Linked DNA regions of Alligator mississippiensis. The protein of the gene in region 1 interacts with the protein of each later gene in a biochemical or structural test. Links are inferred from orthologs where the notes say so. Each region holds a gene or a part of one and is shown on either strand. Other genes may lie near its edges.

Region 1 (15,009 bases):
AATTCGGGACTTTCTGGTTTTCCTAACTCTTGAGTGCTTGACTTTGCAACCTCAACAATCTAAAAAACCTATTTTAAATGTAATGTGTTCCGTTATAAAAGATTCTTGTGAGCTGTCTTTTTCCTCCTTCCTCCCCAAAAGATGCAGACCTTTTTGTTTGGTAGAGAGAGAAAGCTAACATGCTTTCGCTAGAGAAGTGCTTCTTCTTTGTCCCATAAAATTTCTGGCCATGCCTATTTGATTCATGAATGCTAAAAACACCACATTTCCTCCTGTTGCTTGGATTCACAAGGGTAACTTTAGTAGATGCCAAAATAACTGAAGTGAACAATAAAGAGCCAAATCCTACTTGGTGTTAAGGTAAGTTGCATGTTGTGGTAAGAGGGGAAAGCCACTGCATTCTTCCACTGCACCTCTTACATCTATGTTCTCAACCTGTCCTCCCACTGAGGGGCACATGGAGCAGGATCTCCCCCAAGTCCTGTGGGGAGAGGCTCTTCCTAGTTTTGCCCCAGACTTGATGTTGTTGCCAGTGATCCATCATTCTCTCTTGCCATTAACTAGTGTAAGTAGTGCTACAAGGAGAAGCCTGTACTGATTTTAATTGGAGTTAAGTACCTTTGAAAATCCCACTAGGCCTGTATCAGAATCTGGAGGTGCTTAAATACCTTTAAAAATCTGACTGTGATGTTTATCTCCCTACAGCACTATTCCAGGAATAATGACTTGTGTCAGTGCTAATAGGGGGTAGTACACCAACTAGGTTGCTCAGAAAAAGTAAGGTGAAGATGTTACTTAGCAACAAGGATCTTCAAACAGAACTCCGCTCCAAATTGTGAAGGAAAATGACTAAATCAAAAAATGTAAAAACAAAAGGCTGGTGCAATGACTGGTGGTGATGGTAACATATTGGAGAAAGGAAAAAAGCAAGCTTTGGGAATCTTTCAGAAAGTAGTTTCCAGAAAAATTGAAGCAAAACTAGAAATAAAAAGAGGTCAATAAAGGCAGTAATTAAAACTACGTAGCTAATGATTGTGAAAGGAAAATGAAAGGAACACGTAGATCCGGGGCAGAGAAACCAAACAGTGAAAAAAGCTGAACACAAAGGAATATAAAAATTAAGAGGGAATTTCCAGGTCTGTGTCTAATTATTGTCCTAGACTAAACATGTTTTCCAACATTATACTGAGCTAAATCTAAAGCCTGCTAAAATCAATGGAGAAACTCAGACATCAACAGGCTTTGAATAAGACCCAGAGTTTCTCACCAAAGGCACCAAGTGATTTTCAAATACAAATTAAACCACATAATGTACACTGGAATACTATTATTAGAATATTTTATAGTTGAGGAAATTTGAGACATAAAGGACTGAAGAGTGACTTGAATGGCAATACTAGAAAGTAATATTATGTAGAAGCTTGTGTTTTTTATAGATATTCAAAATTGGTCACCTAAACTAGAACTCCTAATTGGCATTTACAAACCAAGAATACTTGGCAGTCTTCAATACTGATGTGAGTGCAGAAATGTGAAAGGGGAGCTGAGATTTTGGTTGTAATTACAATACACAAATACCAGTAGAAAAGATTAAAATGCTAACACTAGCTTTTGGAAAGTTATGTTAGGTGAAAATCAGTATGCCTTTTTCAGTGGCAAATCAGATTTTTCTTGGAAGTCATGGGTTTGTGATTATGTTAATTAGTAATTGATTTAACAATGAACATTTTGAGGCACAAATATTCTAAAAAGTTAGTATTTATGGATTCCATATATAACAATCAGATAAATCAATCAATTTAGAACAAACAATAAAAAAGATCATGTAAAATGTTTAGCACTTGATCCTTCTTTATGGATTTGTGTTAATCTCTTGAAGGAATAGGGCTTAAGTGTTTTTGATTACTCTTACTAAACAAAGTATCCCCAATATGTGTGCACACATGTACAAGAAAAGGTAGGTTAGTTCTGGAGGGGTACTCTACACCCTGGGATAGCACCTTCCCTTCACTTCCACATCTCCACTCTGAATTGGACAGAACAGTAAGTTTTGTGGGGTTTTTTCTTACCTAAAAATGACAAGAAATCCTTTAAAACACAAACCCTAATTTTGGGTGCATATTCATATTTAAATAATCTAATAAAGTCTCTAACAGTCAAATGATTTCAGATTTTCCAGCAGAGATATAGATAATCACAGCATTGTTTTACAGACAGTACTGTGGAGATGTACCACTAACAGGGTTTTTTTCTCTTGTGTCTTTTGTGTTCTTCTGTACACCCATAATCGGTGATGCACAGCCCCAATGACTTCTTTGCAAGTCCTGTGATTTTTAGTGAATTTAAAAAAAACCCTCAAGTGCTGGAGTCAAGCAGTTGCATAAGAATCTCAGCTGTCATTAAAAGAAGACTGAGTATCCATAAACTACTGAGACGGGCAGATGGGAGGGGGCGGGGGTTACACTGCTGCTCTTGCACCCCCCCACTTTTGATTTCTGTTCCACCCAAGGTTTAAAGTCAACTGGCGGACAGCAGCATTTCTAGTCAGGCTGTGCTGAGGGAGTCAATTGACTTTAGGTCTCTTTGTATCATAGTATCATAGTAGCTAGAGTCAGGAGGGACCTGAACAGATCACCTAGCCTGACCCCCTGCCACAGGCAGGAATGAATGCTGGGTTCACAAGACCCCAGACAGGTGATCATCCAACCTCCTCTTGAATTTGCCCAAGGTAGGGGCGAGGACCACTTCCCTGGGAAGTTGGTTCCAGATTTTGGCCACCCTAACTTTAAAATATTGCCTTCTGAGCTCCAACCTAAACCTATTCTCCATCAGGTTATTACCATTGTTCCTTGCCACCCCAGGTGGTGCTGGGGAGAAAAGGGCTCTGCCTATTTGCTGTTGATCTCCCCTGATGAGTTTGTAGGCAGCTACCAGGCCCCCCCTCAGCCTCCTCTTGCTGAGGCTGAACAGGTTCAGGTCCCTCAGTCTCTCCTCATAGGCCCTGCCCTGCTGCCCCTGATCATGTTAGTGGCCCTCCTCTGGACTCTATGTTGTCCACATCCCTTCTGAAGTGCAGCGCCCAGTACTGGATGCAGTACTCCAACTGCAGCCTGACCAAAGTCGCATAGAGGGGGAGTATCACCTCTCTGGACCGGCTTGAGATGCACCTTTGGATGCATGACAAGGTATGGCTGGCCTTGCTGGCTGCAGTCTGGCATTGGCAAATCGTGTTAATCATGGAGTCAGTAATGACTCCAAGATCTCTTTCCGCCTCTGTGCTTTCAAGAGGGGAACTCCCCAGCCTGTATGTATGTATGCTGTGGATTCCTTCTCCCAAGGTGCAGCACCCTGCATTTGTCTACGTTGAACCCCATCCTATTCTTGTCTGCCCACTTCTGTAGTCTAAATCTAGTTGCAGCCTCTCTCTCCCTTCAAGTGTGTCTACCTTGCCCCACATCTTAGTGTCATCAGCAAACTTGGACAGCGTGCTTTCCACCCCCTCGTCCAAGTCGCTGATGAAGATGTTAAACAGTGCAGGCCCGAGGACCAAGCCCTGGGGTACCCAACTGCTCGCATCTCGCCAGGTTGAGTACAACCCATCCACCACTACTCTGGGTGCGCCCCATCAGCCAATTTTTTACCCATCCAACCGTGTAGGCATCAAGGCCACAGTCGCTTAATTTATTGATGAGGATGGGGTGAGAGACAGTGTCAAAGGCCTTCTTAAAGTCTAGAAAGACTACGTCCACAGTGACACCATCATCCAAGGATTTAGTTACTTGGTCATAAAAGGCAATCAGGTTGGTCAGACAGGACCTGCCTTTGGTGAACCCATGCTGATTGCCCCTGAGCATGATCTCCCCTGCTGGCTCCCCACACATGTGCTCCTTGATGATTCTCTCCAAGATCTTCCCGAGCACCGAGGTGAGGCTTACAGGCCTATAGTTACTTGGGTCCTCCTTCCTCCCCTTCTTGAAAATTGGAACCACATTAGCCAGTTTCCAATCCCCTGGCACCTGGCCAGATGACCACGAATGCTCATACAGCCGGGCCAAGGGCTCCACAATGACCCCTGCCAGCTCCCTCAACACCCTTGGGTGGAGGGCATCTGGACCTGCAGATTTAAAAATGTCTAGCCCTTCCAGAAGATCCCTAACTACATCTGCTCTGACTGAAGGTCTGACAGAGCTATCCCCAAGATTGTCCCTACCTCTGGTAGGTGGGATGTCCCGGTCCCTGTTCAAGAAAACAGAGGCAAAGAAACTGTTAAAAATATCAGCTTTCTTGTCTGGTGTAGCCACAAGATTACCATTTGCGTCTTGCAGGAGCCCTACATTGCCTGGTGCCTTCTTCTTGCTCCCAATGTACTTGAAAAAGGGACTTTTTGTTGTCCTTAATCCTGGACGCTAGCCTGAGTTCCATCTCTGCCTTGGCCTTCCTAATGGCCCTCCTACACTCCTGGGCCGAGGAGGAGTACTCCTCCTTGGTGATAGCTCCTCCCTTCTACTGGTTGTACGCCCCCTTTTTAGTCTTCAGGAATTCCTGAATGCCCCTGCTGAGCCAAGGGGGTTTCTGAGCACTCTTACCCCCCTTGTAATCTACCCGATTCCTTCTAAATATTTCATTCCACAGGTGTTAAGGACCCTCTCTTCTTTTTAATGGTCTTGAGGTTCCATGATCAAGCTGCCCGTTCTTCTGCAAATCTGCTGTCTGTTAGCTGCTCCTGGTAAGGAAGCTCCTATTTCACAGCCCTGCAGATTGTTTTTAACTCATTCCATTAAAGTTATATTTGTTTTTTTTCAACCTTAAAGTGAAAAATATTGCCCTAGGTCCCTGGCATATTTGTAAAGCTTCTAGTTTACTTTTAACTGGAGAAAAATATGTTATTGTATATGTGATACTTCTGGAGGGACTGGACATATTTAAATCAGCAGGTCTTGACAATCTCCACTCCAGAGTGCTGAGGGAATTAGCAGAGGTCATTGCGGGACCCCTGGCACAGCTTTACGAGCACTCGTGGTGCTCTGGTGTGGTGCCAGAGGACTGGAAAAGGGCCAATGTGTTTCCCAGTTTCAAAAAAGGGAGGAAGAAGGACCCAGGAAACTATAAGCCTGTTAGTCTTACCTTGATCCTGGATAAGCTTTTTGAGAGAGTTATCCTGGCACATGTCTGCAAGGGGCCAGCAGGGGAGATTAGACTTAGGGGCAACCAACACGGGTTCATTAGAGGCAGGTCCTATCAGACCAACCTGGTGGCCTTCTGTGACCAGGTCACAAAATCCTGGGACGCAGGTGTCACGGTGGAAGTAGTCTTTCTGGACTTTAGGAAGGCCTTCGACACTGTCTCTCACCCCATCCTCATTAAAAAACTAGGAAACTGTGGTGTCGACACCTACACAGTCAGATGGGTCACTAACTGGCTGGAGGGCCGCACCCAGAGAGTGGTGGTGGACGGGTCATTTTCAACCTGGAGGGATGTGGGCAGTGGGGTCCCCCAGGGCTCAGTCCTCAGGCCCGCACTGTTCAACATCTTGATCAGTGACTTGGACGAGGGGGTAAAAAGCACCCTGTTCAAATTCGCGGATGACACTAAGCTGTGGGGAGAAGTGGGCACGCCAGAAGGGAGGAATAGGCTGCAATCGGACCCGGACAGGTTACAGGGGTGGGTGGATGAAAACAGGGTTTCAACACTGACAAGTGCAAGGTGCTGCACCTGGGGAGAAAGAACCAGCAGCAGACCTATAGGCTGGGGAACTCCCTTCTCATCAGTGCCAAGGCAGAAAAGGATGTTGGAGTCATTATTGATGCCAAAATGAACATGGGCCGACAGTGTGGGGACATGGCCAGGAAGGCCAACCATACCTTGTCATGCATCCACAGATGCATCACAAGTAGGTCCAAGGAGGTGATCCTCCCCCTCTATGTGATACTGGTCAGGCCGCATTTGGAGTACTGCATTCAGTTCTGGGTGCCGCACTTCAGGAGGGATGTGGACATGGAGAGGGTCCAGAGGAGGGACACTTGCATGACCAGAGGACAGCAGGGCAGGCCCTACGAGGAGAGGCTAAGGGACCTGAACCTGTTCAGCCTCCACAAGAGAAGGCTGAGGGGGGATCTAGTGGCCATTTACAACCTAGTCAGAGGGGACCAGCAGACTTTGGGGGAGTCCCTGTTCCCCCGAGCACTACCAGGAGTGACAAGAAATAATGGTCACAAGCTGGCAGAGGGTAGATTCAGGCTAGACATCAGGAGGCACTACTTCACAGTCAGGGCAGCTAGGATCTGGAACCAACTTCCAAGAGAAGTGGTGCTGGCTCCTACCCTGGGGGTCTTTAAGAGAAGGCTAGACGAACACCTTGCTAAACGACCCCAGTACTCTTTCCTGCCTATGCAGGGGGTCGGAGTTGATGATCTGCTCAGGTCCCTTCCGACCCTACCAACTAAGATACTATGATACAGCACCTCACCATTTGCATCCTCCTTTTCAACCTTCTAGGGGAATTTTGGGGAGGGGATATCGGCTGTGTTCTTTCCTATGCTGGTTTCCCATAAGGCAAGTTCGAAGTCTCTGCCCATGTCTTTGAGATGTTTAATGGCCTGGGCCTGGATTATCCAACAGCACAGGCGACTGGTAAGGGGGGACACGGGGGCAGCACATGCCCCCCCCCCCCGAGGCTGGCCCCTGACTTGGCACTGCTCAGGACAGAGCAGTTTTTTGCCCTGTGTGCCAGCGGCATGTTGGGGTGGGGGCACTAGGCTGTGGCACAGGAGTATAGTAGTGGATATGGGGCCCCCCAGACTCAGAAGGCGCCAGTCACCCCTGTCCAACAGATTGTCCAAACTCCAGCAGGAAGCCATAATTGATAACAATGAAACTTCCCATCATAAGATTGCAATAGCCAGCAGACAGAAGGGCCCTGCTTTCTGCAGAGCTAGGATCCTCCCAACCTGCGCCGGCTTCCCTCCGCCGGCAATGGGGACTTCTCCAAGCTACCCGGTGCAGCGCGGGCCTCTGAGAAGGAACCAGAGCAGGTCCTCTGGACCGCCCAGCGCCGGGACCGGGGCGGCGCCTCGGCAGCAGCTGTGCCGCAAGAATTGAAACCGAAACCGCCGACCGGAGCCTTGATAAGCCCCGGCGCCGCCCGGGACGCCGCAGAAGCTGGGGAGCCGCCATGGAGGAGAGCACTCAGGACGAGCGCTACCTCGACATGATCTCCTGCTTCAGGTCCCGCATCAAGGCCGGTCTGCGCACGGGGCCCGTGCTGGACCACCTGCCCCAGCTGGGCGCCGAGCGCGAGCGCATCCGCGCGGCGGCCGAGCAGCACGGGGAGCCGGCGGCGGCCGAGCTGCTGCTGCGCGCCGTGGAGCGGGGCCCGCACACGCCGGGCTGGTTCGCCGCCTTCGTGACCGCGCTGCAGCTCGGCGGCTGCGCCCTGGCCGCCAGCTACGCCAACCCCAGCCTGCGCGACCTGCCGTCCCCGGCCGAGGAGGCCGAGCACGACCTGTGCGTGGCGCTGCTGCAGGTGCTGCACGGCTCCCTCGTGGACCGGCTGCGGACCCGGCCGGTGGCCGACAGCTGCCTGCAGGCGGGCCTCGCCACGGAGGACGACAGGGAGCGGGTAGGTAGCGGGCCGGCGCCTGGGGATGTCCACCCCTCTAAAAAGCGTTCAACATGCACCGTCGTTTTTCCGAGGCAGCTAGTTGATGCTGCGTGTGCAAAAGCCAAGTCACCCTCAGAGAGTCTTAGCCAACTTCTGGGAGGGGGGTTGTTTTTATTTTTTAAGGAAAATTGTTCTTCCCAGCCAGATCGATTCCAAGAACCAGGTATGGTCCTACTGCCCTCAAACATCCTCCATCCCCACCTGGGGCTTCAGATGTTTCCAAATGATTTGGCCGGCTCAAGCGCCGATCCGGTGCCCCTTCCCCATAAGGCCGCAGGGGCGAGCTAGGGAGGAGTCTCCCAGTTCCATGAAGTCAGCATAAAGCCAAGATCTTCCCAAGGGAAATGAAAGTGGGAGGGTAACTATACATTACCTCTGCCAGAGCAGCGGTTATCCCCCGTCCGTGGGAGAACCAGCCTGGTGATCATGGTGTTTTCCCTGCCAACTTCCGGCTCTGCTGTCAGCACTTCTTATGACTGCTTGCCTCCAAATAAATAAATGCCTCAACTTTGACCCAACTCTCACTCCATGGGTGGTGTCTTACACTGACCAATATAAAGTGAGAAAGGAGACTTATTGCATACTTCTTTGCATATTTTTTCAGCGTGCAATAGGTTTTTAACAACTACGATCATTTTGAGCTTTCAATACAATTAATTTCATATTGAAGACCTGGCAATACTGTCTTTAGTTCCCAGGTGCCAGGAGAGGAGGACAGGGCTTAGCCTTACCTGCTCCCTCAACCTGTTACCTGGCCTCAGGATCACCAAGGCCTTGGAACAATAAACTAGTGGTGTTTTCTCTTCTTCACTGGCTGCAGTTGGTTCCTTATTGCCAGTTCCTTATTCCTGGCTCCCAGTTCCATTTTCAAAGATAATCTGTAGCCAAAAGCTTGTTATTAATGAATAACACGTTCTAAAGAGAGAGAATTTCACTAGCTATGCACAGTAACTGATTAATATGTAAAACAATATCCTATATCAAATACAGAGCTTTAAACGACGATAAAGTTGGGATGGGATTATTGGGCAAAATACTTCTTGGGCCAACCCAAACCTCCTGTTGATACCACTACCTCCCCAAATAAGCCTGAGCACTCTCCTGCCGGGCCCAAAGCACGGGTTGGCCCTGCCAGGCTGCAAACTGAAAGCCCACTGTACTAAGCATAATAGCTTGGATAAGGAATTGGCTTTTGGACTGGAATTATGGCTGGAAATCCTTCTTGGGCCACTCCACGACATGCCTTTGTACCACCAGGGACCTCTCCTGGACATCAGTGTCACTGACCTAAGTCTGGGCCAGCCAAAAGCGCAGTTTGGCCCTGCCAGGCTGCCAACTACAGCCCCCCATTCCCATTGTACTAAGTATCTGGGCTTGTCGCAGGGCACATCAGTGCCTGGCTCCTAAGGAGTGAAAGCTGCCTGGGAGAGAGCCTGGGCAGAACATAAGGGGGACAGCTGCAGGTTGCTGGGGCAACAAATGGGAGTCAGCTGGCCAGAAGGGGGCAGGGCCTGGCCCTTATAAAGCCCAGGGCTGAGGCCAGGCTGGCAGTTCTCAGCCAGCAGCCGGAGAGGCAGGAGCTCACTCAGCTCAGCTATGGGGAGAAGTCTGAGGGGCAAGTACAGCTCCTGATAGCCCTGAGAGGATTGGGCACTAAAGGTTTAGCCAGGGGGCTTTATGTTTGTGTTACAGCCAGGAGGCTTGTGTTTGTTTGGCTCTGTTATTACACCCGGAGGCTTGGGTGAGGCTGTAGGGGTTGGAGGAGGCCTCAAGCACAGGGACCCCAGAGAGTGTGGGGTGCCCTAGTGCCAAGAGGGCGCATTATTTGAATAGTGCCAGGGAAGGCGCAGCTCGCACGCCAGTGCGTGAGCAACTGGTGGTGAGGAGCGCGGCCAGTGGGTCGCGGGCGCAACCGGCGGGTTGCAGACGGGGGACCGAGACCCCAGATTGCATGCAGGGTACATAGAACCCAGCCCCAGAGAGGGGCGATTGAGCCCAAGTGGGGGCGTAGGACTTATAAGGACCTGCAGCAGTGTGCGGGGACCCCGACGCCCAGGAGGGCACAGCATACGGGGTGTATAGACCCAGCCCTAGGGAGGGGCATTTCTGAAGCCCCAGCGTGGTCGGGGCGAGCTCCCAGGACGGGGGCCATTTTGTAAGCCCAAGCGGGGCACAGCCAGACGCCAGTGAGGGCGCAGTTTATAGGGGCATAGACCCCGGCCTCAGAGAGGGGCGATTGAGCCCAGGTGTGGGCATAGGGAGCTCCAAAAAGGGGGCAGCATAGTGAGTCTCCAAAAGGGGGCAGAAGAGAGATGACAGCACTTACATCTGCGAGGCTTGGGCTGCGGTATTAGGGGAGGTTGGAACCGCAGAGCACCCCCCGGTATCGGGGCATTATAATGGGCAGCCTCCCGCTAATTAATTAATTAACATCAAGATGTGGCAGGCGAGAAGGCGGGCGGTTGCCGCAGGAGCAGGTGAGCGGGCCACAACTTGGCTTGGAAGCGATGCCTGTTACAGGGCTCAAATAAAGAACTGGCTTTTGGGCTGAGATTACTGGTGGAAATCCTTCTTGGTCCACCCCACACCATGCCTCTCTGACACTGAAGGACTCTCCCAGACATCTCTTACCAGAGTCATGCCTGGCCCAAAGTGCAGTTTCTTTGTGCCTGGCTGCTAACTGCCAGCCTCCCCAGCCACTGTACTAAGTATATGGGCTCAAATAAGGAACTGGTTTTGGGCTGGGATTAGAGATAGAAATCCTTCTTGGGCCACCCCACACAATGCCTCTGTACCACCAGGGGACTCGCAGACATCCCTAATCAGAGTCTTGCCTGGCCCAAAGCGCAGCTTGGCTGTGTCAGGCTGCCAACTGACAGCCTCCCTTGCACACTGTAATAAGTATATAGGTTCAACTAAGGAACTGGGTTTTTGGCTGGAAAACTTTTTGGGGCCGGCCCACACCATGCTTCTGTGGCACCGGGGAACACTCCCAGAGTACTCTGACAAGAGTCCAGCCTGGCCTAAAGCGCGGTTTGGTCATGCTGGGCTGCCAACTGACAGCCCCCCATTCCCAAAGTGTGGGTTGTTTCTGCTGGGTTGCTAAATGACACCCGTCCCCGCCATGCCAACTACATTAAGAATAATGGCCCGAATAAGGAACTGGCTTTTGGGCTGGGATTATGGCTGGAAATCCTTCTTGGGCTACTCCACAACTTGCCTCTGTACCACCAGGGGACTATCCCAGACATCCATGATCAGAGTCTTACCCGGCCCAAAGCACAGTTCGGCCATGCCAGGCTTCCAACTGACACCCTCTCCCCCTACCCCTCCAGCCACTGTACTAAGTGTATGGGCTCTGTAACAAGCGGGTGTCCCAGGGCCAGTCAGTCATTGGCCTGCCTACTTGTTTCTGGGCTAACCACCTGCCGTTTTCTCCTGCCATGCCTTGATGATGATGATGATAATGATTATATGATGTTAATCAGGCAGGAGGCTGCCCATGTACTTGCCCTGATGCCAAGGACTGATACACATAGCTCCGACCTCCCCTTACTGTGTCCCATGCTTTGCAGATGGCATCCATGGCCTAGCACCCGGCCGACTCGTATTCCTTTGGGCTCTTAGCCCCCTATCATTACTGTCCAGCTCCCAGTCTGGCTCAGGACCCTCATCATCTCCTTAACTCAATGCTCCCAGCCCCTACCATTTATTCTGGGCTCCAAACCCTGTCTCTGGGCTCCAAGCCCCATCTCTGGGATCAGGGCTCCAAGCCCCAGCCCCTGCCCTCCCTGAGCTATAATCCTTTATCCCCTTGACCCAGGAGCTCTACTCATAGCTCCTACCTCCCTGGAGCCTCATTCCCAGATCCCTAGTGCAGCCTCAGAGCTCAACTGTGAATTTGGGTGCTGCCTCAGGTCCCCCTACCTGACCTGGGCCCTGCTTCAGCACTCACAGTGAGTCTGGGCTCCCCCTGCTTGGTCTTACTACCCACCAGGGATGTGGGGGCTGGGGTTATAAGGTGCCCCTTACTCGCCTTTCACTGGCAAGGTGACTGGCCTGGCATTTCCAGGGACTACCCTACCATGGGCTGCCCCACCAGACCATCCTAGTCCAGCAGGGTATAGTTTTCTATTGTACCCAGGACAGGGAACCTCCTTCCATCCCCGTAGCCCACCCCAGACCTCCAAGGTGTTGTGAGCAGCAGCTCCAGCCAGTGATGTCCTTCCGGCTGCCAGCAGCAGACTACTGGCTCTGCTGTTTAGGGCCCTGCTCTTATAGGAAACAGCTGGGCCCTGTTCTCAATCAGGCAGTCCTGCCTAACTGGAGTTGCCACCAGCTGCAGGCTACATAGCTGCTGCCCACGCATATGTGAGTAACAGAGCATACTTTGTGCTCTGTTACAGGCTCAAATAGGGAACTGATTTTGGGCTGGGATCAGAGATGGAAATCCTTCTTGGACCACCCTACACCATGCCTCTGTGGCACTGAGGGATCCTCCTGGACATCCTTGACCAGGGTCTTGCCCAGCCCAAAGTGCGGCTTGGTCCTGCCAGGCTCCAATTTACTCCCCATCCTTGTGTGCTATTTAAGGAGCTGCCCTTCTGTTGGGATCATGGGGCAAAACCTTCTTGGAATCATGTCAAAACACATCCCTGCTACCAAGGGAACCTCCTAAAGAAATCTGGGCATGTGCTTGACCCAATGCATGTTTTTGAGTGTGAGCCTGCCAGTTGACACTCAGCCTTTAAGACTGTATATTACTTTTCTACCAGGCACTGGACAGCAGGAAGAATGGTTGCATGCAAATATAGGGCACTTATACACATGGTGGACCTCTGCTCTGATGCATGGTATTTAGCACCTGTCAAAGCAGACTTGATTAATCAAGCCTGCTGGCAGTCTGCTGGAGTGTGCTTATTAGTGTGCTCCACCAGCTTCCACATCATGTGTATTCACTGTGCCTGCATTTCAGAACAGCAGCGGGGGTACTTTAACTAAAGGTCATTGAACAAGATTTAGTTAAAGTGTCCCCATCGCTATTATTAAGCATGGAATGCTGAATACACGTGACGCTGCAGACACTTTAATTAGAGTCAGAGCCATTCGAATTAAAGTGTCACCCCACACTCCACCCCGGAGCATGTGTATAGATGCTTCTAGGGATTTTTCACCATCTTTTCATGTTTACCTTCAGCTGCCACCCAGAAGCTTAGTAAAGTAACTTAGAACTGGGTGTTGTAATTTAAAGAAACCTGCTCACTCACTAGCAAATATTAAATTAAAACAAGTTTATTACAAGGGAAAAGGGAAACAGTGGTACTCCCTAAGCAAAACCTTAACTATTAACCTTTAACTGTAGCTCAGAACTGATCACAGTCACAGTCAGTGGCAAACCAACCTGGGGAGCTCCCTCTTAGCCTGCTCACTTGAGAAGGGAGTCTCACCCAGGGCTGCCATCCAGAGGCTCTACCACCTGCACTGGCTTAATAGTAAGTTTTGGGTAGGAAAGACCACCACAGAGACTCTGTTGCTCCCCACTGTCAGGGGCTCATAGACTTATAAAAGCATAGAGAAGTAGGGTTGGAAAGGGCCCCTAGAGGTCGCCCAGTCCAATCCCCTGCCTCAGGCAGCTTCATCCCTATGCAAACCATCCCATTTAACCATATATCATAGACCTAACACCCAAACCTGCCACAAGTAAAGCAGGGGAACTATGGGAGCAACTGTCCTGCATTTATGAAATGTTATCAATATATGCTCCAGAGATTCCCAGGTAGAGGCCACACCTTCGCTATAGAAGGCGGCAAAAACTCCCACAGTCCATATGCCAACTTGACCATGGGGTAAAAGTCCTTCTTGATCCCAAATACAGCAATCAGTCTGATCCTGAGTGAAGGGCAAGACCCTCTAGCCAAGACTCTCTGACTTTGCTCCTAGCAGGAGAATCAGCACATTCCAGTTCAAGTCAAGCATATATATTCTCAGCAGGGAACTTGAGGACCTCCTACGCCAGCACACGAGGCCATTTTGTTTGGCACGCCATGGCCAGCCCCGGCCCCGGCTCTGGGTAGCTGCCCAAGGTGCACGCGGAGTCACCACCAGCATGGAGCTGATGCCAGAGCTGTGGAGCCTGGTGTGGCTGTTTGCAGCCTGCCTGCTGCTTGCTGCAGCTGCCTAAACAGCTGGGCTGGGCTCTGAAGCCCAGTCACCAGCCCTATACCAGGAGCGGGGGAGAGATGGGGTTGCTCAGGCCCCTTCCCCACCGCCCGCTCCAATGCCCGGGTGCACACGCTGGTACAAAGCTGATGCCGGGGCTCTGGAACCCAGCACAGCTGTTTGCAACCTCCCAGCTGCAGCCAGCCCTGGCTCTGGGTAGCTGCTGCAAAAAACGTTGCCTACCCCTGTCCTACACCTAAAAAGAGAGACTTATAAAGGATGGAAGGCTGGAATCACCACCAAGGAGGAGTACTCAGCACTGGTCCATGCCTGCAGGGAGTGGACCAGGAAAGCCAAGGCTGCAACCAAACTCCATCTGGCTTTACATATCAAAGATAATAAAAAGTCCTTTTTCAACTATGTAGGGAGTCAGAAAAAAGCAAGTAACATTGGACCCCTGCTGAACAAAATGGGACAACTGATAACTGACACCCAAGAAAAAGTCAGTCTGCTTAATGGGTACTTCACATCAGTCTTTCATCAGCCCAAAGGCACCGCCTTGCCTAGCATAACATGGGACGGCCAGGGTGAGGGCGTATTTATATCCAGCATAGGTGTAGACCTGGTAAAGGAACACCTTGAGAGGCTGGACATCAAGTCAGCTGGTCCCGACAGATTACACCCTATAGTACTCAAGGAGCTGGCAGGTGTCATAGCCCAACCATTGGCAAAAATATTCGAAGGCTCGTGGTGCTCCTGAAGACTGGAAAAAGGCCAATGTGGTACCCATCTTCAAGAAAGGGCAGTGTTGCAGGACACTAGGGTGCCCTGCTCCTCTAAAAAGCTGAAATGGCTAGGGGAAGAGCCCTAGCAGTGAGTTGGAAGCCCCAGCTGTTGGTTACCAGGGGAGCCAGAATGAGCTAGTGGCCCACACTTGTCAGCAGTCAGCCGACTGAAAGGGGCAGAGCCTGGCTCATATATAAACCTGGGGCTGAGGCCAGGAAGGCAGTTTCCTGCCAGCAGCCAAGGGGAAAGGAGCTTTCCCAGAGCAAGCAAAGGGGAGAGGCCTGACTGCAGGTACAGCCCTGAGACTGGTGAGGGACGGAGCACCCTGGTGCGGCTTGAATAATGTTATAGCCAGGGGCTAGAATTTATGTTATAGCCCAGGGGCTCGTGTTTTGTTTACTGTT
Region 2 (15,323 bases), on another chromosome or scaffold:
GTGCTGCTCTGAGTGCTAAGCAACCACCTCCCCCCAGAGCTAGGGGCTGCTGGAGGCGAAAAGTCTCTGCCTGGCTGGAGACCCTGTGTACTCAGTTGTGCACTACTGGGCCATGTGGGGTTGGCTCCACACTGCCTCCACATGCAGCTGGGGACTGGGGTAGGAGCTGTGTGTTATGGGGCTGGCACCTCACGCTGCCACCACATGCAGATCCAGGGACTGGCACATTCCCGGGACTCCGAGAACCCCCCCCCCCCCCCAAACATCCACACATACACTCCCATACCCCCCACCATAACCCCACACACTTCCTCCCACAGCCCCCACCCCAATCACATACCCCACATGCCACCCACTATACTTCCACTGCACCCCACCACATACACACCCACTCCCCAACCACCCCCCCCAAGCAATGTACAAGAGTAAGAGTGTTGTTTGAACTATTATGCAATCGCCTCTAGATACACTATGCAAACGCACACAAATCAGGACAAAAATATATTTTTTAATCAAATTAAAATCAGTTATAGTCAATGTTTGATTTTTTTTTTTTTAGTATATGATTTGTTTTCTTTTATGGCTTCTGTCAGAACCCATTAATTGAATGCCTATGGCACAGTGGAAAATCCCCGAGCCCTCGTGATTGGCACAGGAAAAATTCTGCCACAGTAGAAAAGCCCGCCAAGTCCAACAGCCGCATTGTTCAAATGAGCGCCACCCATTGGCCGGTTACAAATTATTCCTACTTGGCAACTTACGATTGGCTTACCAACCATATAAAAGTAAAAGCAGTTTCTGCCCAAGTTGGAGAACTCTGGACGCACCCTGGAGTAAACTTGGCGGACTGATCACCCACCAACGACTCCCCGTCACCGACCTTCCCGACGTACCCCCTCCCCTGCATGCTTGATAAGCCGTCTATAAAATATCTCACAGATTCATAGATTCATAGATGTAGGGTCGGAAGGGACCTCAATAGATCATCGAGTCCGACCCCCTGCATAAGCAGGAAAGAGTGCTGGGTCTAGATGACCCCAGCTAGATGCCTATCTAACCTCCTCTTGAAGACCCCCAGGGTAGGGGAGAGCACCACCTCCCTTGGGAGCCCGTTCCAGACCTTGGCCACTCGAACTGTGAAGAAGTTCTTCCTAATGTCCAATCTAAATCTGCTCTCTGCTAGCTTGTGGCCATTGTTTCTTGTAACCCCCGGGGGCGCCTTGGTGAATAAATACTCACCAATTCCCTTCTGTGCCCCCGTGATGAACTTAAAGGCAGCCACAAGGTCGCCTCTCAACCTTCTCTTGCAGAGGCTGAAAAGGTCCAGTTTCTCTAGTCTCTCCTCGTAGGGCTTGGTCTGCAGGCCCTTGACCATACGAGTTGCCCTTCTCTGGACCCTCTCCAGGTTATCCGCATCCTTCTTGAAGTGTGGTGCCCAGAATTGCACGCAGTACTCCAACTGCGGTCTGACCAACGCCCTATAGAGGGGAAGTATCACCTTCCTGGACCTATTCGTCATGCATCTGCTGATGCACGATAAAGTGCCATTGGCTTTTCTGATGGCTTCGTCACACTGCCGACTCATGTTCATCTTGGAGTCCACTAGGACTCCAAGATCCCTCTCCACCTCTGTGCCACCAAGCAGGTCATTCCCTAGGCTGTAGGTGTGCTGGACATTTTTCCTCCCTAGGTGTAGCACTTTGCATTTCTCCTTGTTGAACTGCATCCTGTTGTTTTCTTCCCACTTGTCCAACCTATCCAGGTCTGCCTGCAGCTGTTCCCTGCCCTCTGGCGTGTCCACTTCTCCCCATAGCTCATCTCGTTCCAAGGGGCCCTCGTTACGTTTGTAACCGCAACTTAAGCCAGTTTTCTTCCTGCGCTGCACGCATCAGCGGCGTAAGTAACAATCTATTTGCAACCAATACGCGTCTGTGCCTAATTCCACTCCACCCGTCGAAGTACCCACCTGATGTTCTGGGCTCTCGGCCACAGCCCATCAGCAGCGCTCGGCTGCCACATGGCGTCACGAACAGGATCTGGGGAAGATGCGATGGAGTCGGAACTAGTTAAAAACTGCCCCTGACGCAGTGGGGGGCGCCGCGTGACGAACGCTGATGAACTATGGGCACACATTGCCTATCACCAGGCGGGCGGAGCAGGTGAAAGGCTCGTCAGCGGCTACCTTTTGCTGAAAGGGGAAGAGGGAGTTTTGAGAGAGTGGGAGGCACATCTTGACCCCGGGGCATTCGGGTGCGTGATGAGCAGCGAGCGAGTCCTATTTAGGCCCCGAGAGGAAGTAGGCACCATATCCCTTGCCAGAGTCAAACCGACAGGCGCGGTACGCCCGCTGTATACGATATGTGCGGGAGGGCGGAGAACCGACACCGGTTGACAGGTTCAATCCTCTGGCCCTAGTGCCCGGGTCGAGGGGCCACGAGTTGCTCTCCGATCTCCGGGGAAGGTTAGAATTGGAAGGCCACATCACAACACGGTGGGCAGGCCCAAAGTGGGATAAGGGAAAAATGCTAAACATAATGTTCCGCACTGTCACAACTCTACTGCGGGAAAATGCAAACTTAGAGGCCCAACTGCTCACAGCTGCCCAGGCAGCTAAAGGGGCAGCAGTAAAAGAAAGCCCCGAGCCGCCGCCATCCCAAGATGCCGCCGGGAAAAAAGAGAAGCGCGCGAAAATTCCCCAAGAGGGATGGACAGCCACACCACCACCCACGGCCCCACCTCCCGAAGTGGCGTCAGCTGCAGCCCCACCCCCCGAGCCTGCCCCGCCTCCAATGTTCCCGCCTCCCTACAAGAGCAAAACTTTATACCCAGCCCTCCCACCAGAGGCTCCGGCAACCCTGACAGTAGCCGCTAACCCCGTCGCCCTGGTTAAACAAGTGACTGACGCTCAGGGCGCGACGCGTACTACCACCACATACCGCACCCGCACTCGAGCGGAACTACAAGAGCTGTGTAAAGAATCGAAAATAAAACCCGGCGAACCGCTAGTCATATGGCTAGGCCGCCTCATAGTAGAGTTTGGGTCCAACCTGTTAGACCTAGAAGAGGCTTGCTTCTTAACCCGCCAAGCCTCATGGAGCGGAGGACACGTCACTGACTTAAACGTAGTCATAGGCAACGTCCATTGGAATATCCCGCTCCCGGCCCTTGTCGCAGGGTAAGTTGATCACAAGCCTCATGCCTGGCACGACGGATGGCCACAAAGGGCCACTGCAGAACAGCTTTTATTAGCCATAATTGGAGTCTCGTATGCCTCGTAGAATCCAAGAGTGCATCAACTGGGACTAACACAGGCCCAGCGTAATGGGGGATGGGCCCACCGCCACTTAAGAAACCCTGGAGCCGTCCCGGCAACCCTCGAAGCTATAGAGGCCTGCGTAGAAGTCTATGGGGGAGAGAACGCCATAACACTCCGGCTCCTCCTCAACCCACTAGCAGGCCAGCCAGCCGGAACCCTCTTGAGCCAACTCCCACGGCTGCAAGCCCTCGTGAAGTTAGCAACAGAGGCCTCAACTGATGCGACGAACTCACCCTCCACATATCCGATTGAGCCCCAAAACCCGAGACGCTACAAGTTCGATCCCCAGCGGGAACCGTGGCCAATCCCTCAAAAGTCACCCGAGGAGAGGGCCATGTTCGGGTTCCTCCTAAACAACTCCAAACTCACGAAACAGCAACTGCGTATACTGGGAGATGAGGGCCAACGACACCTAGCGGCCGAGTTAGGTTTCAAATTCTACGACAAACCAAAAAACAAGTAGTGGCCGCTGGCCACACCGGCAGCCAGCCTAAACCCGACCCTACCGACCTCCACCCCTACACCGAACTTACCGTCTACGACCCCGTTGACCAAAGCAACCAACGAAAAGTGCTCTTCCTCCTCGACACCGGAGCCCAAGTCAACGTAATCACTCCGACAACGCCCACCAGAAAACCACAGAAACAATTAAGGTTCAAGGACTCAACACTGTTGCAGTCACAACAAAAGTTAAGTTTATAATCCAAGGTCACCGTCGCGCTCTAGAGGCAGTGCTAGGGGACATCAGCCTCCTGGGAATCCCCAGAATCAAAGCCCTAGAGCTAAAAGAACAAGTGTTACAAGTCCTCCTGATCACCGTTCCAGAGACCGACCGACACAGACCCACACTCTGCAATATGTCCACGTGGCATTATAAACCCATCCCGTGCAATACTTCTCCAACAAGGAGGCTTATGCCAGTACCTCAATCTGTCCCGTGACATGTGCTGTATTAGCATTCCAAACATCTCACTATCCCTGAACGCCCAAATCGATGCGATTCGAAAAGTCACTGCCGATACAAATAGAATCTCAGGTATCGGACAGGGGTGGTTATCTGACCTTTTGCCTGGTTTGCCTGGGATACATCCTCGTGGTTTCTAAACCTCTTAACACCCTTATCACCCTGTTACTCCCTCTCATTAGTATGTGAATTTGTGTTTGTGTCGGTTGTTGTTTTATGAAGTACATTAAGAACAGGTTCATTTCATTATCTGCTTTTGTATATACCCACTTGCCGTATGAACCCCCCAAACAAGACGATGACGGCCTAACCGGCTTATGAGCAAATTAGTTCCAACTGTGCCATCGGCAAGGGGGCATGTCAGAACCCATTAGTTGAATGCCTACGGCACAGTGGAAAATCCCTAAGCCCTCGTGATTGGTGTGCGCGCCGGGTCAGACCCCGGGTCGCTTTCGTTGCTCTGCACGCGGGCTGTGGCCAGCAGCCCGGGCAGGCCGGGTCAGAGAGGGCGGGCGCCGAGCTAGAATTAGGCACAGACACGTAACAGTTGATTTTAAGATTGTTTTACTTACACCGAGATGATCATGGTGTAGGCTGAGAACTTGCTTGAGTTGCGGTTACAACAAAAAACACGAACACACGTGGAGGTTGCAAGGCTCCACGCAGACAGAACACGACAAACTCCGGATGTCCAGGACAAGCGCGCATTAAACTCATCGTTACGTCTTATAGTAGGCTCCGTTCGAAGACGGGAAGAGGCGGGCGGTGGATCAGGCCGCCAAACCCCTCTGAGCGACACACAGGGTTTCTATTACCCTGCCGCGCACACCCAGAGTCCCCACGAGATGGATGCGGAGTCCTCTTCGGCTTGGGCGGAAACTGCTCAAGCCTCTTATACGGCTAGCAGGCCAATCGCTAGCCGCCACGTGTGAATAATTTAGAACTAGCCAATTGCGGGGCACGAATTTACATACGATGAGCGGGAACTCTTTGCACCGTGCATTTCTGTGTTGCAAAGGAAATGCACCCTGCAAAGATCGCTGCAAAGTGGCGGGAACACTCCCCTGCACGCGGGTTCTCTGCGCAGCAGAACTCCTCCGTGCAATGAAGTTGCAAACCCACGGGGATAATTCTTAGTGCCGAAGCACACACAAAAAAAATCAGACCTTTGGGTCATGACAATTGGCACAGTAAAAATTCTGCCACAGTAGAAAAGCCCGCCAAGTCCAACGGCCGCATCGTTCAAATGAGCACCACCCATTGGCCGGTTACAAATTATTCCTACTTGGCAACTTACGATTGGCTTACCAACCATATAAAAGTAAAAGCAGTTTCCGCCCAAGTTGGAGAACTCCTGACGCACCCTGGAGTAAACTTGGCGGACTGATCACCCACCAACAACTCCCCATCACCGACCTTCCCTACGTACCCCCTCCCCTGCATGCTTGATAAGCCATCTATAAAACGTCTCGTCTCGTTCCAAGGGGCCCTCGTTACGTTTGTAAGTGCAACTTAAGCCAGTTTTCTTCCTGCGCTGCACACATCAGCGGCGTAAGTAACAATCTATTTGCAACCAATACGCATCTGTGCCTAATTCCACTCCACCTGTCGAAGTACCCACCTGACGTTCTGGGCTCTTGGCCACAGCCCAGCAGCAGCGCTCGGCCGCCACAGCTTCAAGGTGGTGGTACCCCCCCACTCCCACAGGAGTACTTTTGGGGGCAAGGGGAGGGACTTTTGTGGCAAAGGTCAGGAGTTAGGGGATGGGACTTCTGGCCCCAAGGTGGTGAACAGGGGGCAGGGCTACTCTTACAGCCTGCCACAGCTCACCAAAACTCATTAAGTGGCCTTCCAGCCAAAAGAATTGCCCGCCCCTGTTCTAGTTACACCAAGTCATTCAAGGTCAAGGAGAAAGGTATCTTCCCTGCCATGTCTGTAAAACCTCTTAGGCCAAAACCATCATCATAGTATCCCCCCTGCATCCTGTCTGCCCCCCGGCCCATTGTTTTTCACTCCCCACCCTCCCTATGATGCTTCCATTAGCAAGGAGCAGCTGGTTTGTCACCACACACTGTGAACTGCTTGCCACTGCGTTGGGGCACCGCAGTCATTCATTGCAGCCTAGAGGGGGTAGCTATGGGCACTGCCATCTTTGGACCTCCCGAAGAACAGGCCCAGGCACTCCCCTGATACACGGCAGGTATTTTGCATGTGTGACACACAGTCGGGTGGTGACATTCTGCTTTCCCAGCTGGATGCAGCATGGTGGGAAAATGCACCATCATGTTAGGATGTTGCATTGCAGCTCAGGCCACTGCAGGGCTTGGGGGCAGTGCATCACTGTAGAAGGAGGCGGCACCCTGTGGGTGCTGTGATTAAGCTGGCCTGCAACTAGTACTTCTGTGGTTCAAACCAAATCTTTTGGTCCCCAGGCCAGCAGCTGGCAGGTGTACAGCATTGAAAGTCTGCAAAGGATCTCAGAGAGAGTGTGGCTTCTCTGATTAGCAGGGATCTGGGTTTTCTATTTCCCATGGAAAACCAGAAAAAAAACTGAAGCTTTTCCCTTTTATTTGAGAAAAACGCGAATTTTACATTTTAACGGAGAAACCCATGGATTTTCCATGTTTGCAGAGCTGTCGGCAGGCTGGCAGATTTCCAGCCTGCAAGGGGCCGGGGGGAGCGGGAGGAGGGTGGCCACGTGCATGTGCACACTCACACACGCACATGGCTGTCAGGCAGGCTGGAGAGCAGCTCTTGCAGGTAAGTCTGGCAGGGGGAGGAGGGGAGACTGAGGCAGAGCCCTGGCGAGGAGCAGGACGGGGCCACGGGCGGCTCATCGGGGTGGAGGCTGGCTCCCTGCCGCTGCATGCACTCCTGGAGGGGGCAGTGGGACCACGTGCCCCCCAGATTAGGGCATGGGGCAGGGGCAGATGTGGGCTGCAGGCTCAGGCTTCCTATCCTGCTGCCCTCTCCCCAGAGCCTCTGCAGCGCAGCAGGTGGGACCCAGCGCGGGAGGGCAGAGCGGGGCCAGGCAGGAAAGCTCCTTGCAACTGCTGGCAGCTGCACACTGCCATGGCAAGATGCCCCTGCCCACCGGGCAGCAGTGAGGGGCACAACTTCATGCTGCTGCCCCTGCTGCTGCTGGGTGGGCAGAGGGCACCTCACCAGGACAGTGCAGGGCTCCCAGTGGCAAGGAGCTTCCCAGCCCCGCTCTGCCCTGCCCCCAGGTCCTGGGGTCTGGGGTCCCACCGGCTGGGCTGCATAGGCCTGAGGGGAAGGCAGCAGGGTGGGGATCCCCAGCCCACCGCGGGCAGTCCCCTCCCCCATGGGTTCTGCTTTGGCCATGCCACCCATGGAGGAGGGGGAACCAGGCTTCGTGCTCCGCTCCACTGCAGCACCGACCGCCTCCCATGGGCGACAGGCAGGGCTTGGGCATTGCTGTGGGTGATGGGCGGCTGTAGACCTGGTCCCTGGCCCCATAGCCCTGGCAGCTGGGGGCCCCCTCCAGAAGGGCTTGGAGGGCATAGCAATGGGTGGCGAGGGGCTGCAGGGCTCTGCTGGGTTTGCAAGAGGCAGCCTTGTCCCCTGGCCCTCAGGGCTGAGCAGAGACACTCACCAAAGTCTAGAAAGCATTTTTTTTTTTTTATATAAAACATTTTATTAGAAAACCAGACTATAACAAAAGACTCAAAACGACCCCAAAACAGAGGCCTCACAAAAGGGTAATACAACATTTCAAAGGTCTAGAAAGCAGCTACCAGACTGAACCAATTGCTCCGCAGTCAGAAAGCAGCAGGTACAGCCACCTGGGCAGCCTTCTCTGTGTAGAAGCCCCCTTGCTATGGGTAGCCCTGGGGCATGGGAACTATGGGCTTGAGGACAGAGGAAAACTCTCAAGCCACCTGCCAAAGCTGGGATGCGGAGAACAGTGCCCAGGCCTGTGTGTCTTTAAGAGCTGGTTTGGCTCCGTGCCTATCCCTCCCCTCTGCCTGACACAGCAGCAGTCTCATTTCCTCTTCTCATCCTGTAGGTTCCTTGCTCTGCCTAGGTGGCTGCTGCTCCGGCTTGGGGCAGGATGGCTTCCCCAGGGTCCCAGAAGCTGGAGGAGAAGCTGGTGTGTTCCATCTGCCTGGAGCTGTTCAGGGAAGCTGTGACCATCCCGTGCGGGCACAATTTCTGCCAGAAGTGCATCAGCAACCACTGGGACAAGCAGGAAAAGGAGGATCCCCAGGGAGAGGAGAGGTTTACCTGCCCTGACTGCAGGAAGGGCTTCAAGACACGGCTGGAGCTCAAGAAGAACGTGTCGCTCTGCAGCGTGGTGGAGCTGGTCAAGGCGGGTGAGGTGCAGGCCTCCAGCACGGACGTGAAAGCCCCGGCTGACAGGGGGAAGTGCCCGCGGCATGGGCGGCCCCTGGAGCTGTATTGCCAGGAGGAGAAGGTGTGCATCTGCTGTGTGTGCACCGTGAAGGAGTGCCTGGACCACCACAGGGTCCTTTTTGAGGAGGAGCGCAAGAAGAAGCAGGTGGGTCCTGGCTCGGTCTCCTCTGGGACCTGCCCCACATCCGTCAGGCCCTGGAGAGAGAGGCGAGCTCTGATAGAGGGGTGCTGTCGAGGTCGGGGTGCAGGCACTGCTGTGCCTAGAGCCTGGGCTGGGACACCAGGGTTCTCCATCAGACCCCGGCTTGCTGCGTGGGGCCTGCATTGCACATGTGCCCGTTCCTTAGTCCAGAAAGGACAGCATCCCAGCCCATCTACACTAAAGCATCTTGAGACCTTCCACTGTTTCACTACCCAGAGGCTCAGCTCAAGCGGCTGTTTTTGGGCAGTGGTTACTAGTGTCAGGCTTCTCCTTGCTGATCTGGACTGAACTTTCCAGGGCTCCTGCATTTGAATGTCGCAGTGTCCTGGTCAGGGATTTAAAATGAATACTGTTTACTTACGGTCTTGCACACGCTGGAATGACTGTCTCTTCTCCACGCAGCAGGGGCCCTGCATGCCTGTCTTCTCCATGGGTCCCAGTCTGCCACCCTCCCACCCGTGCCAGTCTCAGGGCCCTTAACCTTCCTAGCCATGCCACAGACTCCTGGCCCCGTGTCCCCCTTCCCCTATACCAGCATCCTGCACTCCCCCATCTCCCGCTCACTCCATGCGAGAAGCCCTGTGTATCCCCATTGCCAAACTGGTTACCCCTCCTGTTTCTTTCTGGGAGTTATGTCCTGCAGAGAATCTCGAGGTTGAGATAGCAGGTGTTAGGTGGGAAGCTGCTAGTGGGTCTCATTGCATCTATACAGATTCTGAGAGCGATGCCTTGGAGTGGAGTATCAGGCACTACCGTGTTTTTCTTGGCTCAGCAGAGTCAGCTGCTGGGCAGATACACCTGCTGCATGGAAGGTCAAGAGGGAGTGACCTCCCTTTCCATGGACAGGTAGAAGGACCACGTGCAGGTCTGCCTCGTAGCGGCCCAGCACTGCGGCCTTTGAGCAGCATCAGCTGAGCAGTGACCAGAGCATGTGTGGGGAAAAGAGGACCCCCTTGTATTTGGATTCACAGAGGGGCAGTAGTGAGTTTGAAGGGGAGACAGTGCCGTGCAAAGGCCAGGGCTCAGAAACCACGTAAAATCACGTAACCACGTAAAATCACGTAACCACTTCTGCTCTCATGGCTTCAGTTGAGCACTACTGCCAAACAAGGAGGGGATGCTGACACTCCTCTCTGACCTGCCTCAAAATGCGCAGATGCCAAGCGCCATGTAAGTGTTAAATGTTTAGTATTGGTGATGAGGGGAAAAGAGGGAGAGTCCTTGCACAAGGGGTGGGATGTGGAAAGCTGTGGGAGCCATCACTGTGGAGAGGGGCTTGAGCAGCCAGGGGGAGGTTCATGTGAGATAAGTATTACACGAGTGCTGAAAACTATGCTCCGCTATGTTACAGCTTGGGCTTTACTCCATTTTCAGGCCCTTTTAGAAGAGTTATTGGAGAAGACACAACAGGAGGCAGCAAAGATCGAGGAGGAGAAGCATAAACTGGAGGAAACAACGGAAGACATTAAGGTATCCAGGCAAATGCAGCTGCTGGGCTCGTGGGATTGCAGCCCTGAGCATGGCCTCCCCTCCTACTTGGCCTGTGGATTCTTTGTCCTGTTGTTTCAATTGACTTTTTCTGCCCAGGAATCTTCAGAAAAGCTGAAATCAGGGTTTTTGAACAAGTTTGCCCTGATAATTGAAGCCCTGGAGAAGCAGCGGAGGCAGGCAGTGGAGAGGATCGAACAGGAGCAAGCCACTGCCCTGGGGCAAGTAGCGGAGAACTGGGCCCAGCTGGAACACCAGCAGGCCACCCTCAGCCAGCACCAGGAGAAGGCCTGGGCCCTGCTGGCCTGCACAGATGACAGGATATTCCTGGAGGTATTGACAACCAGCCACAGCAAGGGGAGGGGAGGGAGGTCCTGCCTCCTTCAACCCAGAGGAAGAGGGATTGAGGGAGCGACTGCCATGGAGCCTTACACACCTGTGCCCTCTGCCCTTCCTCTCCCCTTCCTGCCCCATCTAGGACTTCTTGCAGCTCCCTTCTGAGACCCTGGAAGCTTTGCCAGCCATCGAGTTTAATGCTGCCAGCAAAGTGGATCCCATCTCTAAAATCCTCACTGAGGTCTCTAGGCTGTTGTTGGAGGATTTGCCCAAGTGCCTGAACCCAGAGGTCACTGGCCCAGAAACCAAAGGTAAGCTCTGCCCTTGGTGACATTTCCCCCACTGCCTACAGGTTGCACTGGTGGGGGCAGTGTCATCCCAGCTCCGTGAGTCCCCACTCTGAAGGGTCCCTGTACTAGAGATGCTGCACCTGGGTGTTTGGGTGGCTCAGGCACCGCATCATGAATGTCACCCCCTGCACTTGGCCCCAGGTGGGGTCACTTGGCCACCCCAGGCCTTAGTAGTAGTATTATTTAATATTTAGGTTGCAGGTTTGCCTGAAGATCGAACCCCTATAGACTTACCCTAGGCCAGTGGTTCTCAGCCTTTTTAGACTCAAGACACCCTTGGATTGACTTGAGGCACCCCTTAGATAATGCCAGCTCATAGTTTTCACTCTTTTTTTAGGCTAAAGAAAAATAAGAGAGCAGTTTTCTTGTTGCAAACAACTCAGAGACCCCCACGATGGCTTTCTTATTTAGAATTTTTTTTCAAGATGGCAGCCGACAGGTGAAGCCCCTCTGAGCTCCTGCAGCTCGAGTGCCTTTTGTGCGTTCCCTGCACTCCGTGCCCCCCTTTTCTGTCCCCACCCCCCCAAAAAACCTTGCCTCTACCCACCCTGTCCCTGGGGACCCCTTCCCCCCCTGCTTTCTGAGCGTTTTTCCCCTGGGCTCTGGCAGCCTCGTTTGTCTCTGCCCCCCGCCTGAGTTCTCCCTGTGATTCCTACTGCCCCCCTCCCCCAGGGCCCCTTCCCTTGGTCCCTGCCATCTCCCCTGCCTTGGGGCTTGCCCTGCCCCCCCTCAGGCCGATTTTGGGGCGTTTTGAGCCCAGTCCCAGTCCCAGTCCCTGGCCTCAGCCTGAGGCTTTTTTTTTTCCCCCTCCCGGGAGAGAGTTAACCCTCTCCTGCCGGGATGCCTGCCAGCAGCCAAGGCACTTGGCATGGGGATGTCTCTGCAGACCTTCCTCTCAGCCATGGCATGCGGGTGCATGCCCCTCTCCACGTCACGGTGGAGGACTGCGCCGGGGCTCTGGTGGACCTGCTGGGACGCCGGAGTGTGTAGTATGCCTCCCGGGTCAATTCGGTGCCCATTATCTATCTGAGCTCTCCCAACCTGGTTAGGGAGGTGTGTGCGGCGGGGCTGGAAGTCTCGGGGGTCCACCACTTGGTCACACCCCTGGAGACCCTGGCAGTGCGGGTGGTGGCCTCCAACGTGCCCCTGCACCTGTCAGACTGGGACCTCACCAACGCGGTTGAGCACTATGGTGTCCTCGCCAGCCCCTGGCGCAGGCTGACCATAGGGAGTAGGAACCCCAAGCTGAGGCAGATCCTGTCCTTCCGGAGGCAGGCGTTCATGCTCCCCAATGGGGACACTCAGAAACTGCCTCCCTCCTTGACTTTTGCCCTGCAAGGGAGGTCCTACATGGTGTATTTCTCCCTGGGTGGGAATTCCTGCCGCTGCTGCGGCGGCAGCTCCCACCGAACTGCCCAGTGCCCGTTAGGGCGGTCAGCCGAGGCACCGGCTGCTGCGCCCACCCAGGAGGATGGTGCATCCACCTCGGGTGTGGGACCCCCATCAAAGGGTGGGGTTGGGAGACCTGCCAAGCCCCCCTCCACCCCTGCTCCATCCGAGGGGCTCGACCCCTCTGGCAGTGGCATGCCACCCAGGGGGGCCTGGGACATCCTCCCAGGTTTCTCCCGCCCCTGTCGTAGCGGATGCCTCTTCCGGTGGAGGGGCTGGGGAGTCCTCCCAGTCCCTTCCTGTCCCAGTTCTCCCCGGGGTGGCTAGAGTCTCGGGCGCTGGGGCCCTGTCAGGTGGAGCACCCGAGACCCTCCCTCCACCCCTGCCCCAACCGAGGTGGTGGACCTGGAGGTGGCGACACCCAAGCAGCCTGGCCCGCCCCCTACGGGGGAGGTGCCAGCTACTCCCCAAAAAGCGAAGAACAAGAAGTAGAAAAAAGGAGCGTCTAAAGGAGCTCCTGCCCCTTCGGGGCCTGTCTCAGACAGCACCGGGGAAAAGGCAGCCAGGGAACCTGAGCCCGCTCTGCCTGCCCCTCCGGAAACCCTGCCACCTCCGACCACGACTGAGGGTGTCCCAGAGACGTCTGGCAACCCCTCGCCCCCATCCCAGCCAGTGGGGCCTGTGAGTGGCAAGGCAGGGGTTGAGTGCCTGCCTCCCGAGCAGCGGCAGGCGGCGGAGAGTCTTGCCACCCCACCGCCCGCTCCCCTGCCTGCCGAGGCTGATGAGGAGGAGGAGGAGGAGATGGAGTGCCTGCCCTCTGAGCGCCGCAAGCAGCCCCGGGAGCGGGACAACATCTGCCCCCCAAAGCGGATGGGGATCGATCTCCCCGAGACGGTCCTCAACCCAGATAGAGAGGGGGCCTGCTAGGGAGCCTGGCCATTGAGGGCACTTTCACCGGTCTCACCGGGAAATCCCCTCCCAGGGTACAGCCCCGCCGGTTCTCAGTCAGCAGTATCCACCTCCTTCTGGAGAAACCCCCCTGGGTGGCTCCCAGCTATGGAGGTCTCAACCTCTTGGACCACACCAAGGGCCAGAGGAACGTGGCCGAGAGTATCCGGCAATGGTGCCTGGACCCTGCGCAGTTTGTCCGCGCCGCTAGCAACACGGCGAGGCTTATGCACCGGGACCCAGGCACGCATCAGCATGCCTTCTAGCTCGAGAAGCTGGTGACCCGGGTGAGGGAGGTGTAGGGCCGAGGCGGGCCCGCGGAATAGGGTGGGGCAACGCTAGGCCTTTCCCCTGTCTCCGCGGTTTTTCTGCCCGGCATCCATCACCTTCTGTCCCACCGGTACCCTGCCTACCCTTCCTCCCTCTTCTCCTGTTCATGGCGGTTACAACAATTGCCTCGCTCAACACCAACGGCTGCAGAGACCCGGTGAAGTGGATGGCCGCCCTGGAGGGCCTGCAGCAGAAGCGCCTGGTGATCGCCTTCCTCCAGGAGACGCACAGCGATGCGTACGTTCAAGCCGACTGGCACGCCGCCTGGAGAGGCCGCTTGTTCCTGAGCCACGGCAGCAACCTCAGCGCAGGAGTGGCGACCCTCCTCTCGCCGCAGCTGCAGTACAACTCGGCAGTGGCACGAGAGGTCGTCCCCGGCCGGCTGCTGACCGTCCACGTCACCCTGGCACACCAGAGCCTGCTCCTCGTCAACGTCTACGTGCCCACTGACGGGAGAGAGAGGGTCGCCTTCCTAGAGACCCTGGGCGACCTCCTGCATGACGCCAGTGAGAAGGACGACCTGCTCCTCATGGGCGGGGACTTCAACTGTACCGTCGACACGCTGCTAGTCTGGACAGGGCCGGAACCGCGCCTGCCTTCGGCCCGCAAGCTGCGGACCGTGCTGGAGGTGGCAGAACTCGTCGATGCCTGGCGGGTCCTCCACACTGATGCATGACAGTACACCTGGGCAAAGATGAGCGCCAGCGGGCTCGCCATGGCCCACCTTGACCACCTCTACATCGGCCAGCACCACCTGCCGTTCCTGCATGGCAGCCGCATCGTTCTGTCGGGCCTTTGGGACCACACCTTGGTCTGCTGCGAGCTGAGCCTGCCTGGCAGAGCACGCACGCGAGCCCCTTACTGGTGCCTCAACGTCAGCCTGCTGCAGGACACCCGCTTTAGGGACTGCTTCGCCCACCTCTGGAGGAGCTGGGAGGCGGCGCGAGCAGACTACCCCCCCGGCGCCTGTGGTGGGACGTGGGGAAGGTCCAGATCCGGGCGTTCTGCCAGCAGTATAGCCAGCTGGCGGCAAGCGAGCTCCGCTGCCGCACCCAGGAGCTGGAGGAGGACGTGGCGGAGCTCGAGGCGGCCCTGCTCCGCGCGGGCAACGACGTGGCACTCCTCGAGAGTCTCCGCTCCCGCAAGAAATGCCTGCAAGAGCTGGCGGAGGACGCAGCCCGCGGCGTGCGGGTCCGGGCCCACTGCCAGGAGCTGGCAGAGGCCGACGCCCCGACTGGCTTCTTCTTCGGTCTGGAGAGGCAGCGGGCTGTGGTGAAGACGCTGGACCACCTCAAGACCCCGGAGGGCCGGCTGCTCACAGACCCGGGCGAAGTGCGGCAGCATGCCGTCGCCTTCTACCAGGACTTGTTTGCAGCTGAGCCCGTCTGTCTGCGGGCCGCCCAAGAGCTGCATCGGGACCTGCCGCACCTGGGCGCTTCGCAGGCCGAGGCCCTGGAGCACAAACTCTCCCTGGCGGAGCTGGAGGCCGCGGTGGGGGGGCTCGCCTCGGGCAGGGCCCCGGGCCTGGATGGCCTGCCCATGGGATTTTACAGAGCCTTTTGGCCCCTCCTCGGGCCCAGCCTCCTCCGAGTCTTCCGCGAAAGCCTCGCCGACGGGACCCTG

What was found.
Region 2: of the proteins of IFIH1 (region 1) and TRIM65, one has a biochemical effect on the other in vitro, tested with the Homo sapiens proteins (2 studies listed by BioGRID, with this or other methods). The link is inferred for Alligator mississippiensis from reciprocal best matches to the Homo sapiens genes IFIH1 and TRIM65.

The regions. Positions count from the first base shown.
Region 1 is NC_081827.1:219,323,862-219,338,870, forward strand, and holds the start of IFIH1 (interferon-induced helicase C domain-containing protein 1), read left to right. Parts: upstream 1-7,045; 5' UTR 7,046-7,171; coding exon 7,172-7,618; intron 7,619-15,009.
Region 2 is NC_081831.1:13,242,768-13,258,090, reverse strand, and holds the start of TRIM65 (E3 ubiquitin-protein ligase TRIM65), read left to right. Parts: upstream 1-8,286; 5' UTR 8,287-8,355; coding exon 8,356-8,802; intron 8,803-10,233; coding exon 10,234-10,329; intron 10,330-10,446; coding exon 10,447-10,680; intron 10,681-10,825; coding exon 10,826-10,994; intron 10,995-15,323. UniProt on the Homo sapiens protein: E3 ubiquitin ligase that plays a role in several processes including innate immnity, autophagy or inflammation.